2 linked regions of the Schizosaccharomyces pombe genome follow. Changing the gene in region 1 together with any one later gene gives a genetic interaction. Each region holds a gene or a part of one and is shown in the gene's direction. Other genes may lie near its edges.

The links. Genes that interact genetically often act in the same process or in processes that back each other up.
Region 2: of sap1 (region 1) and swi1, extra expression of one rescues a mutant of the other (dosage rescue), as found in Schizosaccharomyces pombe (one study listed by BioGRID).

Annotation. Positions count from the first base shown.
Region 1 is NC_003421.2:560,984-565,792, reverse strand, and holds sap1 (switch-activating protein Sap1), read left to right. Parts: upstream 1-2,026; 5' UTR 2,027-2,675; coding exon 2,676-3,440; 3' UTR 3,441-4,217; downstream 4,218-4,809. Other genes in the region: SPOM_SPCC1672.01 (histidinol-phosphatase), read right to left, coding at 4,516-4,809. UniProt on the Schizosaccharomyces pombe protein: Binds to sequences required for mating-type switching. Makes a simultaneous contact with both the alpha and beta domains of the switch-activating site SAS1.
Region 2 is NC_003423.3:908,780-916,748, reverse strand, and holds the start of swi1 (replication fork protection complex subunit Swi1), read left to right. Parts: upstream 1-1,969; 5' UTR 1,970-2,155; coding exon 2,156-3,103; intron 3,104-3,119; exon of another isoform or gene 3,120-3,178; coding exon 3,179-5,146; 3' UTR 5,147-5,223; coding exon of another isoform or gene 5,224-7,969. Other genes in the region: TORC1 serine/threonine protein kinase Tor2, read left to right, coding at 1-1,478; ATR checkpoint kinase Rad3, read right to left, coding at 5,224-7,969. UniProt on the Schizosaccharomyces pombe protein: Forms a fork protection complex (FPC) with swi3. FPC coordinates leading and lagging strand synthesis and moves with the replication fork. It is required for programmed fork-pausing which is necessary for mating-type switching.

The DNA of each region.
Region 1 (4,809 bases):
TTAGAAGCATGTCTTGTGTTGGAAGCACGCTTTGTTGTATTTTTGGTTCATGATCGTTTAACGAAATAAGATAGAAATATTAAATGTGCAAGCAGCAGAAAGATTGTAATGTTAAAGTGGAAAAGAGCCAAGTAGAGATATTGTAGAGGATACGATGTGTTTGATAGGGCGGAATTTTGTATATACTGTTTTTTCAGGTAGAATACAGGGAAAATGCTGAAGCGACGTTTGCAGTGTTGAAGAGATGACAAATACAAGACCTTTACAAAATGCATTCTAGTTTGATTTTTTTTTTTTTTTATAAAGTGAATTTTTTCAAGATTTTATTTTCCTAATTTTATTTTCCTAATTTTATTTTTTATATTTTTAATTATCAATTTTATTTTTATTTTATTTTTTTTATTTTCTATTTATTTTTTTATTTTGCATTGCTCATTCTTTCACCCAGAGTAATCACTAAATTAGTCTTTGTTTACAACAATTTGAACAAACAAGTAAATAAATGAAAATAATATTGTTGTCAGACAAAAAACAAGTTAAAATTAAATAAATAGAAAACTTGTGGCTCATTTGATTCTTAGTTATTCTTTGTTTACCTGCGAATTGTTTTTTATTACAATACCCAACAAGTGTTTTCATGTAAATCATTTCACACTCTGTATATTTTACTTTACATATATATATGTGTGCGAGTTGAATCATTTAGTTTCTATCAAAACTCTTTCTACTGCTCTCCCTCTAGATTCTTAATCGGTTTACTGACTCTTTCCAAGTTCTTAATTTTTTACTGCACTTTTTTTATAGTCTTATTTATTTTTAGTATACTCTTTCTAAAGCCTTATTCGGGTTACTGCCTCTCTATGTCGTCTTTTACTGTCTCTCCCTCTACATCCCTATTCATTTACTGCACTCCTTCCTACTCTCTTTTTCGTTTGCTTCCCCCTCCAAGTTTTGTTTCGTTGCAACAAGGTAGAAACAATTCGAATGGTACCAACAATTCTAGCAATCCATACAGACTCAACACCATACATTTCAAGGGTCGACCTCAGATTACTCAATGAAACTCTTGAAAATCAGAATGATCAACCAATATTCATAAATGCTTACAGCAACTTTTGTCGATTGCTAGCAATGATGCATTTAGGTGAAACAAAGTGTGGTCTAACAATGTTTAAATAAAAGAAAAGAAAGGAAAGAAAAGAAAGAAAAAAATAAAAAAAATACTTGATCTTGATTGTATTTTTATTTTCTTTTCTTTTATTTATTCTATTATTTCTCTTTCTTTTTCTCTGCTATAAAAGTGGCGACCATACTGCAATCGAATGAATGTCCACACTGCAAAAAGTGTATGGAAGAAAGCCCTAGAGTAGAAAAGGAAAGAGAAAAGCGCACAATAAGGAATGTTAAGAATAAGAAAAAAAAAGTTTCAACATACTTTATTTTAATTATTATACTGTGGTTTATTTCCTTATTCCAATTACAACAATGTAATTTACATGCTTATTCTAATTACTACAAAGTGATTTTTATCCTTATTCTAATTACTACACTTGATTCACTTCCTTATTCCAATTACAACGCTATGATTCATCTCCTTATCTCCTCTAATACCCTCCCTCTCCCTCCTTGCTTTACTCTGCGGGCATCCCTCTTCCCCCCCTTCATCACTCCCCTAACCCACTGGAACGTTGGGTTTGTTCGTTTGTGCAATCTTTTCTTATCTTCACATTTCCACCCACTCTTCCATCTCACTAATTCCGCTCCTGGGAGCCGGCAAATCAGCACCTCCTTATCCAATAATACGCAATCCACATGACGCCACCATCGTTGCTAGTCTTTCCATTCTCATCGCTATCGCACGTTCCAGATGTGGCGCCCCTCCTTATTCCTCGCTTTCATTGGCTCTCTCCCCATCCCTCGTTGTGACCGTTTACCAGCGATACCGTATGTCATCATTACCGACCGTGCCTGCGTTTTGGTGGCACTCGATCTTATTTACCTCGCTGCGCATCCCAACGAACGCTTTACCAACACCTCCAACACACTCTCCATCGTATTGCAGTGTCGTGTAGGACTTGCCTTCGTTCAGATCCTTAAATAATTTCATTCAAAATCGGTTTGCATTGCTTTCCTCTGTTTTGCTTTGCCCTGCCTTTGTTGGAAAACCTCTCTTACCTCTTCTACTTGTGTTGACTCACCAGTCAGATCAGCTTGGCTCTACTTGTCTACGACTGGAAGCGTCTTTTCACCTCTACTACAAACTTCTATTCTACTATATACTCTTCTCCTGTTTTGCTTTGCTTTGTTTTCTTTTGCTTAGCTTAGCTTAACTTGACTCGACTCGACTCTGTTTTTTTACCTTGCTTTTATACTGTTCGTCTAGTACATAGTATACTTACTATCTTGTTAGTTCCTCCTATACGATTCGATTGCTTTTCCATCTCGTCTCGTTTTTCTCCTCCTCTCACTTAGCTTTTCTTCTATAAAAGGTCGATTTTCATCCTTCTCCTTTTATATCCAAAGCAAAAGCTTTCTGCGACAACTTTTCCTTTCCTTTCCTTTTCTCTTTTTTTTTTTTAACTATACACCACTCTTCCCCTAGCGGCAATTTGGATTTCGGACAATCGAATCCAAATTCCACCTATAAATTATTCAAGACGGATCCCCTATTTTCTATGGAAGCTCCCAAGATGGAACTGAAGAGCTATAAACGAAAGAATGCTTCGTTATCTCCCAGTTCCTCTCCCGCCAAGGCACAGCGTACTCACTTGTCCTTGGAGGAAAAAATCAAGCTCATGCGCTTAGTCGTGCGTCACAAGCACGAACTCGTCGACCGTAAAACTAGTGAGTTTTACGCCAAGATCGCCCGTATCGGTTATGAGGACGAGGGCCTCGCTATTCATACCGAGTCCGCCTGTCGCAATCAAATCATCTCCATCATGCGCGTCTACGAACAGCGTTTGGCCCATCGTCAACCCGGCATGAAGACCACTCCCGAAGAGGATGAGCTCGACCAACTTTGCGATGAATGGAAGGCCCGTCTCAGCGAGCTCCAACAGTATCGCGAAAAATTCTTGGTTGGCAAGCGCAAGTGTGATTGCAATGATGAAATTAATGAACGTCTCAAGAAGCTCACTGAAGAGCAACAAAACGTCGACATGCTTGTCGCCAAGGTCAACTTTCTCTCCAAACATCTTCACGATAATGAGGAAAAATTAATGCAGGTAAATGCTAAAATGGATGAAGTTCTTGCCGAAAATAAGCGCCTTCAACAACTTCTCGATCATAACGATTTGTTGTCCAAGCTCGAGCCTCCCTCTGCTTACGCTCCCCATGGCGTTAACATGGGCACTAATATGGGTGCCAACATGGGCGCTAATATGAATGCCATTCGTGGCGGTCTCCATTCTAGCATCTCTCCTAATCTTGGTGACCATTAATCCCAACTTTTCCGCCCATCCTCCTCCTACCTGTGAACACACAACCTCTTTTCTTCGAGAATTTCGTTCTCAATCCTTGTTTAACTTATGTTGAGCGGTTGAATATAAATTTTTTTTCTTCTTTACTTTTGACTGACGGTCTGCTTGATGTAAATATCTTTCATTTCTCCCTCTTCCTAGTTGTGTGCAAGGCGAATCATTCGGTAAAGCTGGTTACTTCCTTCCTCGTAGGTATCTTTGCCCCTTTCCAAATAAAAAGGCAACGAAGCCTTTCTGTATGTGCGCTAGTTGGGTTGCTTCTATTTTCTCCGCATTTTCTTGTCTCTTCCGTTATTAAACTAATATTGATTTTTTTTTCTTTCAATCCGGACATATTAAATTCTTTGTTTTTTTTTATTTTTTGTCCTCCTTCAAACAGTTTCGGTGATTGCTTTGTTTTCGCTTTCCACCGCTATTTGCCTTTGCCCTCTTTCCCTTTCGCACTAATTCGTTGTCCTTTTTGCTTTCGTGCTTTATCCCAATTTCGTACGACTATCGTTCTTCCCTTCAAACAAGCTTGAAACAGGTACTGTCATATGTTTTGCAAGCAATCCTCCTTGCACTTTCGGTTGAAGCTTGACGAAAGCCCAATGGTCCCACCCATGCTTTGCTTGTAACGTCACATCATGGTTATCTCTTATTTAGAATAGTTTTTTCCCTTAAATTGGTTTCAGTAGTGTTGGCCATTAGTCGGCCTACTCAATTGAGTTAATGTACAATTAATACAATTTTAAGCGACAGAAATCTATGTATCGTAGCAATCGATAGTTCATGTGCAAGTGGAACAAATATTGAGACATCGTAGTACTCGTGTAAAACAAACAGTCTTGTTAAACGGGAGCTCCTCATAAATGGGATCATCATCCACCACAACAAAAGCTTTGCCGGCCATTTCATACGAAGTGATTGAAATATGGTGAATAGCTAGTTACTATACTTCAGGTGACCAAACAGTGTACTTTTGAATTTCCCTTGTAAAAAAATTTCAAGTCCAAAAATGGCCCCAATACGGAAACAAATTTAAACTGTATTACTTCTATGTGTTAGTTATTCCGTTTGTGCCAACGAATTTAGACCAAACATTGTCGACCGTAACATTTTTAACCACCGTGCCATTACCATCGGGGCCCTTTTCTATCATACAGAGGCTTGTAATACCGCATTTGTCCAGATACGACTTGGCCAAATGATAATTCAAGCCAACTTGATGTGGTCCATGACTATCGTCAGATAAAGTGAGTTGCGCTCCTTGTTCAACCATCAGCTCAAGAAGTCGTTGCTGAGGATACGCAGTCTTCCATCCTTTGCGAAATGCAGAGGTGTTAATTTC
Region 2 (7,969 bases), on another chromosome or scaffold:
TTGAGGGTATGTTTGCCGTGTTGAGACCATTGCATGAAATGTTGGAACGTGGTCCGGAAACGCTTCGTGAAATTTCTTTCCAACAAGCCTTTGGACGTGACTTAGTCGAAGCAAGGGATTGTTGTATCCGTTTTGAGCAAACTGGTGATATATCAGACTTAAATCAGGCCTGGGACTTATATTACCAAGTTTTCAAGAAAATTCGTAAACAGCTACCTCAGTTGACAACATTAGATTTACAATACGTTTCTCCTAAACTCTTACATGTACATGATCTTGAGTTAGCTGTTCCGGGAACATACGTTAGCGGGAAACCTGTTATAAGAATTGTAAAGTTTTACCCTACATTCAACGTGATAACATCTAAGCAACGTCCGAGACGACTGAGTATTAAAGGCAGTGATGGAAAAGATTATCAATATGTTTTAAAGGGTCACGAGGACATCAGACAAGATGAACGTGTTATGCAGCTATTTGGGCTTTGTAACAATCTGTTACTAGCTGACCCGGAAACTTTTAAGCGCTTACTTTCAATCCAAAGGTATCCAGTGATTCCTTTATCACCGGATTCAGGCCTTTTAGGCTGGGTTTTGGATAGCGATACTTTGCATGTCTTAATTCGTGACTACAGAGAAAGCAGAAAGATTTTACTCAACATAGAACATAGGTTGATCATTCAGATGGCTCCAGATTACGATCGTCTCACTCTCCTTCAGAAAGTTGAAGTCTTTGAATATGCCCTACTTAGTACTACGGGGCAGGATTTATACCGCGTTTTATGGCTGAAGAGTCGTAGCTCAGAAGCTTGGCTTAATAGGCGAACTAACTATTCTCGTACTCTTGCGGTGATGTCAATGGTAGGGTACATCTTAGGTTTGGGCGATCGTCATCCTTCCAATTTGATGCTGGACAGGTATACAGGTAATATCATCCATATCGATTTTGGAGATTGTTTTGAAGTAGCAATGCATCGAGAAAAGTTTCCCGAGAAGATTCCTTTCCGCCTTACGCGAATGCTTGTTAACGCAATGGAAGTTAGTGGTATAGAGGGGACGTTCCGGATAACATGCGAACATGTTATGCGAGTTCTTCGTACTAATAAGGAGTCTGTGATGGCAGTTTTAGAAGCTTTCGTTTACGATCCTCTTATTAACTGGCGCCTTGCTCCTGCATATTCACCTTCTATCGATGAAAAGCAATCTAACGAACCTAATACACTTCTCGGTGAGACAATTGATGGTTTACACCGGAAACGCTTAAACGAAGAAGGAATTACACTTGAAGAACGTCAAAAACCCGAGATACTCAATCAAAGAGCTATAACCGTTCTTAATCGTGTGTCCAATAAACTTACTGGTCGGGATTTCAAACCCCAACAGCAATTGGATGTACCAAGTCAAGTAGAGAAGCTGATTTTACAAGCAACCTCTATAGAGAACCTATGCTTGTGCTATATTGGCTGGTGTAGTTTCTGGTAGGTGACAGTCCCAAACGTTCAAATTGCTTTTCTGCCGCATCATATATATATTCTATATTAAATAAAGTGTAAATAGTCTTTATGAATGAGTCCTGTAACAATTTATTACGTTGTTTTACAATTTTACAAAATAGAGGAAATGTTGAATTTGACGCAGAATTTTTAGAATTTTGTAGTAGAGAATGCATCTCTTTATATTGTTATTAAAGATTTGCTGCTTAATCATTCTGAAAATAATAAACTCTAAATTTCTACATCTGAAATTGTGAAAATTATTGAAACTAAATTCTAATTATGCATTGTACAAGTTAGGTAGCAAATTCGTTTTGTTGAGTCCATATTATCGAATTTTATAATATAATACTGAATGCCATTTTAATGCGATTTAAATTATAAAGTGTTTTACTTTACACACATTTTTTTAAAAATCCAAGTTATTTTGAAAAGTTAAATATTGTTTTAAAAATTTATTATTCATTGTTTACTGTCACCACCCCTCTTCACGTATCTACAATCAAATTTACTTATCTTAAAAGAATACGATTATTCATGAACATAATTAATATCGCTTAATTATTAAAATTTATTTAATTTCTTAAATTTGGTTTATTTATCGACGCATACCGACAATACAAAAAAAAGGAACTTGAGAGCTTTTGATTTAACAAATCAACTTGAATGGAATTAGATGAGGTGATTCAAGGCATTGTTTCTGCCATTGGAGGATTTGACTATTCAGACGATGAAAAAGTGTACGTTCTTGGTGATGAAGCTTTGGCTTGCCTAAAGGATCTGAAGCGCTATCTTCAAGTAGTCGATGAAAAGTACAAAGTTTGGCAAATTCGATCTTTGCTCTCGAGCTTACAGTTGGTAACTAATGATATATGTCCAATACTCTCTGACTGGGATAAAGACATTACTAATTACAGAAACTGGCGTATCGCTTTAGCTTGTGTTGAGCTTCTTGTACCATTAACATGGCCTTTGGAGACTGAGCATGAAACATTCAGAGAAAATGTTGATGTTCTCTATAATCTGCGTCAAGCTCAATCAAATTATAAAAATTCAATTTTATCTTACAAGAAGGGGAGCGTTTTATCCGCCATTTTAGCTGTTTTACTAAAGCCCTTAAGTACTCCCGCAGAATCCAGAACACTTAGAGACAAGGGAATAATCAGGATAGTGCTGTTACTATTTCGAAACATTCTTCAAATCGATGAATTAAAAACAAAAAATGAAACAATTATCTCGTTTGCGAAAGCTCATATATTAGATTTGATTGTCACACTGGTCTCGAATCTCGATGAATTTGAGCATTTTGATGTTTACATATTAGAAATAGTCTACAACTTGATCAGAGGTTGTAAGCCATCAGCCCTTTTCTCTGATGCCTCATTGACTAACTCTCAAACCGAACTTAATAGCTTACTCCTCAAAGAGTCGACCCAAAATCGCTATTTGAAACGAAATGCACATACGAGGCATAATAGATTTGGAACCATGCTTTCTGTTCAAACTGAAGACAGAAGATTTACTATTGCTAGCCAAAATATAAAAACCGACGGCCTTGATGAGCTTGACTCTCATAAGCGTTTTCGAAAACGAGGAACACGTCGAAAACATTTTGTATGTACTTAGTTAAACACGATGTTTGTTTAAATTTTTTTTTCCAATTCAACTATTCTATTCTAACAATATTAGGATGACATAAACAAATCGTTCTTTATCAATACCGAGGCAGGTACTGCATTAAGGAACTTTGCTGTCGAATTTTTGGAAGCTGGATTCAATCCATTATTTCAGTCTCTCTTAAAAGACTTGGAAAGAGAAGATCCTCGTGTGCTTCCAATTCATAAAATGCAATTATTATACGTTCAGTCATTTTTTTTGGAATTCATGAGATTTTCGTCTAAACCAAAAAAAACAGAAGAAATTTACTCTAATGATTATAGTTTTGGCTTAGCAGCCTCCGTTTTTGACCAACGAGCTTTGATTATGCACAACAGGTTAATGGTAGAATCCTTTGAAATGAAACAATGGAGCACCTTCCAAGCATCCATGCTTTCGATGACTCAATTACTTTTCACTCTTCGAAGTATGACACTTTGTTCCTCAGAAATTTACCAAAGAATTGCCGATAATCTACTAAGCAATATCTTTTACCAAGAGGAAATTCTTTTACTTGTTTATAGCGCTTTAAAGCATTTTAAAACTCAGTCCTTTGGGTATTTAGATGCAATAACTGAGCTAACTATAGTGCTATTAAAGGAGCTTGAGAAATTTAGCAGTGCTAAACAATATCTCTATGTGAAAAAGAGAAGGAGAAATCAGAAATCTGTTGATAGCAATGTCTTGGAATCGGATGAAGATGAAGAAAGCAGCTTGATTAATGCTAATGCAGCCGTTGAGGACCGTCTGTTTGATTTCGGCAGATATGAGTCTAGGTACTGTGATAATGGATGTATTGATAGTTTCGTGCTGTTCCTTCAATGTTACCAAGATCTGGATTCAAAACAAATTCATAGGGCTATTTCCTTTTTTTACCGCATTTTCGTGAAGCAAAAATGCCATGTTTATTTGTATCGTCTCGATTTCCTACGTGTTCTGGACAAAATGTTTAATGACCATGTCTATTTTTCTACTACAAATTCAGCAAGACAGGATTTTGAACAATTTTTTGTATATTATATGCGAAAGCTTTCAGATGCATTAAAAGATGTACCAGCACTTTTTATTGAGTTGCCTTTCCCAAAATTAACCGACACATTTTATTATCTGGAATATGGAAAAAGTCCACTTTTCTCTATTCATGGTTCGAGAAAAGGCCCGTTATACGAGACGGTGCCTGGCTTATCACATTTGGAAAAGGTGGCTGCCGTTGTTGCATGCCTTATAAATGAAAACAAAAGTGATTTATTAGATGAATTGAAAGTTCAACTTAATTGCCTCATTTCAGAAAGAAAGCTAATAACGCTAGCTGACGAGAACAAATATATAAATGAAGGTGGAAATGATGGTGAAAGAATGGGGAAGAATTTGAAAGGAGACACAGATTCATTTAATACGGCCCTTTTGAAAGACGGAAAATTTCGTCTATTATTAGAATTATGTGGATTCGAAGAATCAGATAACAATATAGACGTTCAAGCACTATGGAAATTACCAAATTCTGTTATAATTGATGAACTTGTTGAGCATGCCATGTTGTTGAGAAGGTTTACTGATGATCCGCCGACGTTTGAAGGCACCAAGCCCGAAGATTTATTAGTGAGGAAGCAAAGAGGAAATGTTCGTTTACCATCAAGTAGTGAGGGTGAAACATCTGACGAAGAAATTGAATTTGAAGCAGATGATCCTATAACTTTCGCCAATCGTCGAGAAGCGTTAAATAAGATTACTGACAGAAAACGTAAAAAGATGAAAACTAACGAAACTATTATTGACCATACAACTCGAAAGAAAAAGGAAAACCATTTACGATCTGCAAAATATATTGTTGATTCGGATGATGACTCAGAAACAGATATAGCTTTTTTTCAATCAGAAGCTGCTTTACGAGAGAAAAATGCACAAAAAGCCAGTGCCCTATTTAAGCGAATCGACGATTTAGAAATGGAAGGAAAATTACAAGAAATTGAACAACTCAGCGAGAATTCTTCATCGGATTAATAAATAAAATATCTTCGATTCAAATCATAAGTTTAATAATGGGTAGCTTGTTCATTGAAATTTTTGTTAGTAAAATGCTAGAAATAAGCAGCCCAACCAATGTACATTTCTACCAGGTTTTTTGGGTTGACAGCAGATTTGATCAATTCTTGAATTTGCCCTTCAATAGATAAAGGTATCGTCTCCCCTGGCATAAAGCCTTGAAATTTTTTGCGAATTATATCCAAAACTTCATTTGCTTCATTATTCGGGTACTTGCTTGACGACTTCTTTCTATTCCACTCGACTAAAGGATCATGTAGGAAAGACTCTAGTACGCTCATCAATGTATCTTGGTTTGAGCGAAGAAGCCGCATCGTTATTTCGCTAGCTTTCCTGAAACCCCCTTCATAACCTGTCGGACCCATTGCATCTACCATATTATGAGTTAATCTGAACGGCACCTTTTCAGGTTTTTCAAAAGTAAGACCTTTATCAAAAAGACAGTTGAAATCGACATGGATAGCTTCACCTGTAAATTCATCAAACAATATGTTTTCGCCATGGCGATCTCCCAAACCCAAAACGTAGCCAACTATTGACATTACTGCTAAAGTTCGGCAATAGTTTTGTCTACTAGTAACCCAATTATTTGGTTCTGGGAAAGATTCAACAAACCACTCATAAAAAACTGGAGGAAATTTCGGTAAGATTTTCTTTTCAAATATATCACCAGGGTTAGGACTTCGCAGTGCAAAGTCTAAATCAACTTTGATTTCTTGATATGATATGGGAATGTTTTTCTGTCTATAGCTTTTTAACAAAATTTCTCTAAATGGACGAGTATGATTTACCCATTCGATAAATCCGCATTCTTCATTTAAAGGAATAACAACATAAGTTCTAATACACAAGTTCCTTCTGTTCGCTTCTTGATCTTTCCTCAATATTTTACAAATAAGATTATTAAATTCCATCAATCTAGCATCCTTACGAAGATCATCTTTGGGTTTGCACAAGAATGGGTATAAGTTGCCATCCGTACCTCTAACGTACACTTTTCTTGGTTTTTGAAGAGAGTTCATTATATCCACCTCATCCTCAAATTTCAACAGAGTAGGCTGAGTTTTTGGAAATGGATAATGACTAGCTCTGTTAGCATCTTTAGCTGGTAAAGTAATGTCTAAAAATGATTTAGCAGGAATGACTAAATCTACCGGATCATCAAAAGAAAGCCGAAAATGATCCTTTAAGCTCATTTTTACAGATTTACTGTTAATCCTTGTATTGCACAAATTGATTAACTTTTCAGTAATGAGAATTGCAGATTGACTGAGTGCTTTTATATCAACTTTGGAAGACATAGAAAGCTTCCTAGAATGTAAAACATTTAAAATGCTTTTTCCACGAAGCGAGCGCTTTTGAGAAGTCGATTTTATTGTTGCCATTAATTGCCATAGCGTCTCCCCAGGATAAGATGCTACAACGTTTGCAATTATATGTTCCAAAATTTTATAAACTTTATTATTTGGATGGCATACTCTGGATATCATTTGGGATAATGCAACCAGAAAAAAGTATTGAGGAATTTTCATAGAAAGGCGACAAACATTCGAATTCATAAGTTCCAAAGATTTTTTTCTCGAAGAGATAATGTGTTCACGAAAGTACTTTTCGCCGTCATCTTTAGATAAGCGAAGTTCTTCGGCCCCAAAATCAAGCCACAGTGTGAGCAATTTTGGCATACTTTCATATATATGATTTGTACCATAGTACAAAGATCGACCAAATTCGTTAATTATGCGAGTTACTAACTCACCACTTAAAAATCGTTCGCTCTGTTCATTAACTGGGAGCTTTTGTTCTTCTTCATACATTAAAACTCGATGATGGCCAAGATAATAATGCGTATTCTCACATTCTGAGTAAATCTCTACCGCTTTATGATAATACGTCTCCAAATCCTTCAATCCCAGTTGGCCAGCTTTTCCGAGCCATTTTGTAAGTTTCAAGAACACTTTTCCTTTAAGTGGATTTCCTAAAGTTTCTTTACGATTTTTAGGTCTTTCTTCATGCTCATCAACCAAATCAAACATGTTGTTATTAAGCGAAAAATTCAATTCAGAAATAGCTTTACGATGTTGCCCTTGATGCCACCACCATTGTGCGTGCTCTATTGTTGCTAGCGGTTTATCTAAATCCATTGCTTTGAGGATGGCATTGAAGGCTCTTTGAAATTGACCATTTTTTCGAGATATTCTTGCAATCTCGAGATATATTTCAGCAGTTTTCTTCGTGTTTTCAAATTTTTCATAGCCAACTAAGTGAGTGGACAGGATTTGGTGCTTGAATTTACCGTACGGAGCTACTTGGCTAAGCCGACGGCGAAGAACAATATCAAGATTGTCGGAAACAATTCCGTCAGTTTCAGCAATCCTACTAAAGTCATTAATTGCGTGCAGCTTAGATAAAATATCATAACAATCATAGGCTGAATGGGCGCCTGTGTTTGCAATTGCTGTAGCAGCATCAACGTACAAGGGTTGCAGCCGCTCCGTCAATTCAGCAAAAGAATCCTTCCGTAGGTATTGGTAAAATATGCTACCCAATTTAGCTTCGAAAGATTCCAAGTTGCTTTTTGAAAGACACTTTTTTAACGAATCAATAGATAGCGAACGCCATGAAGCTTCAATACCCAAATTTAACATCTTCGAATACTCGTGGTTGTCATTGATTATAAAAGAATCTAAACTCAAAACAAGAGATTCATAATGCCCCGATTGCAGCATGCTGTTAAGCAAACCGATTTTCGCCTTTTTATTTTCAGGATCCTTTTGAATAATA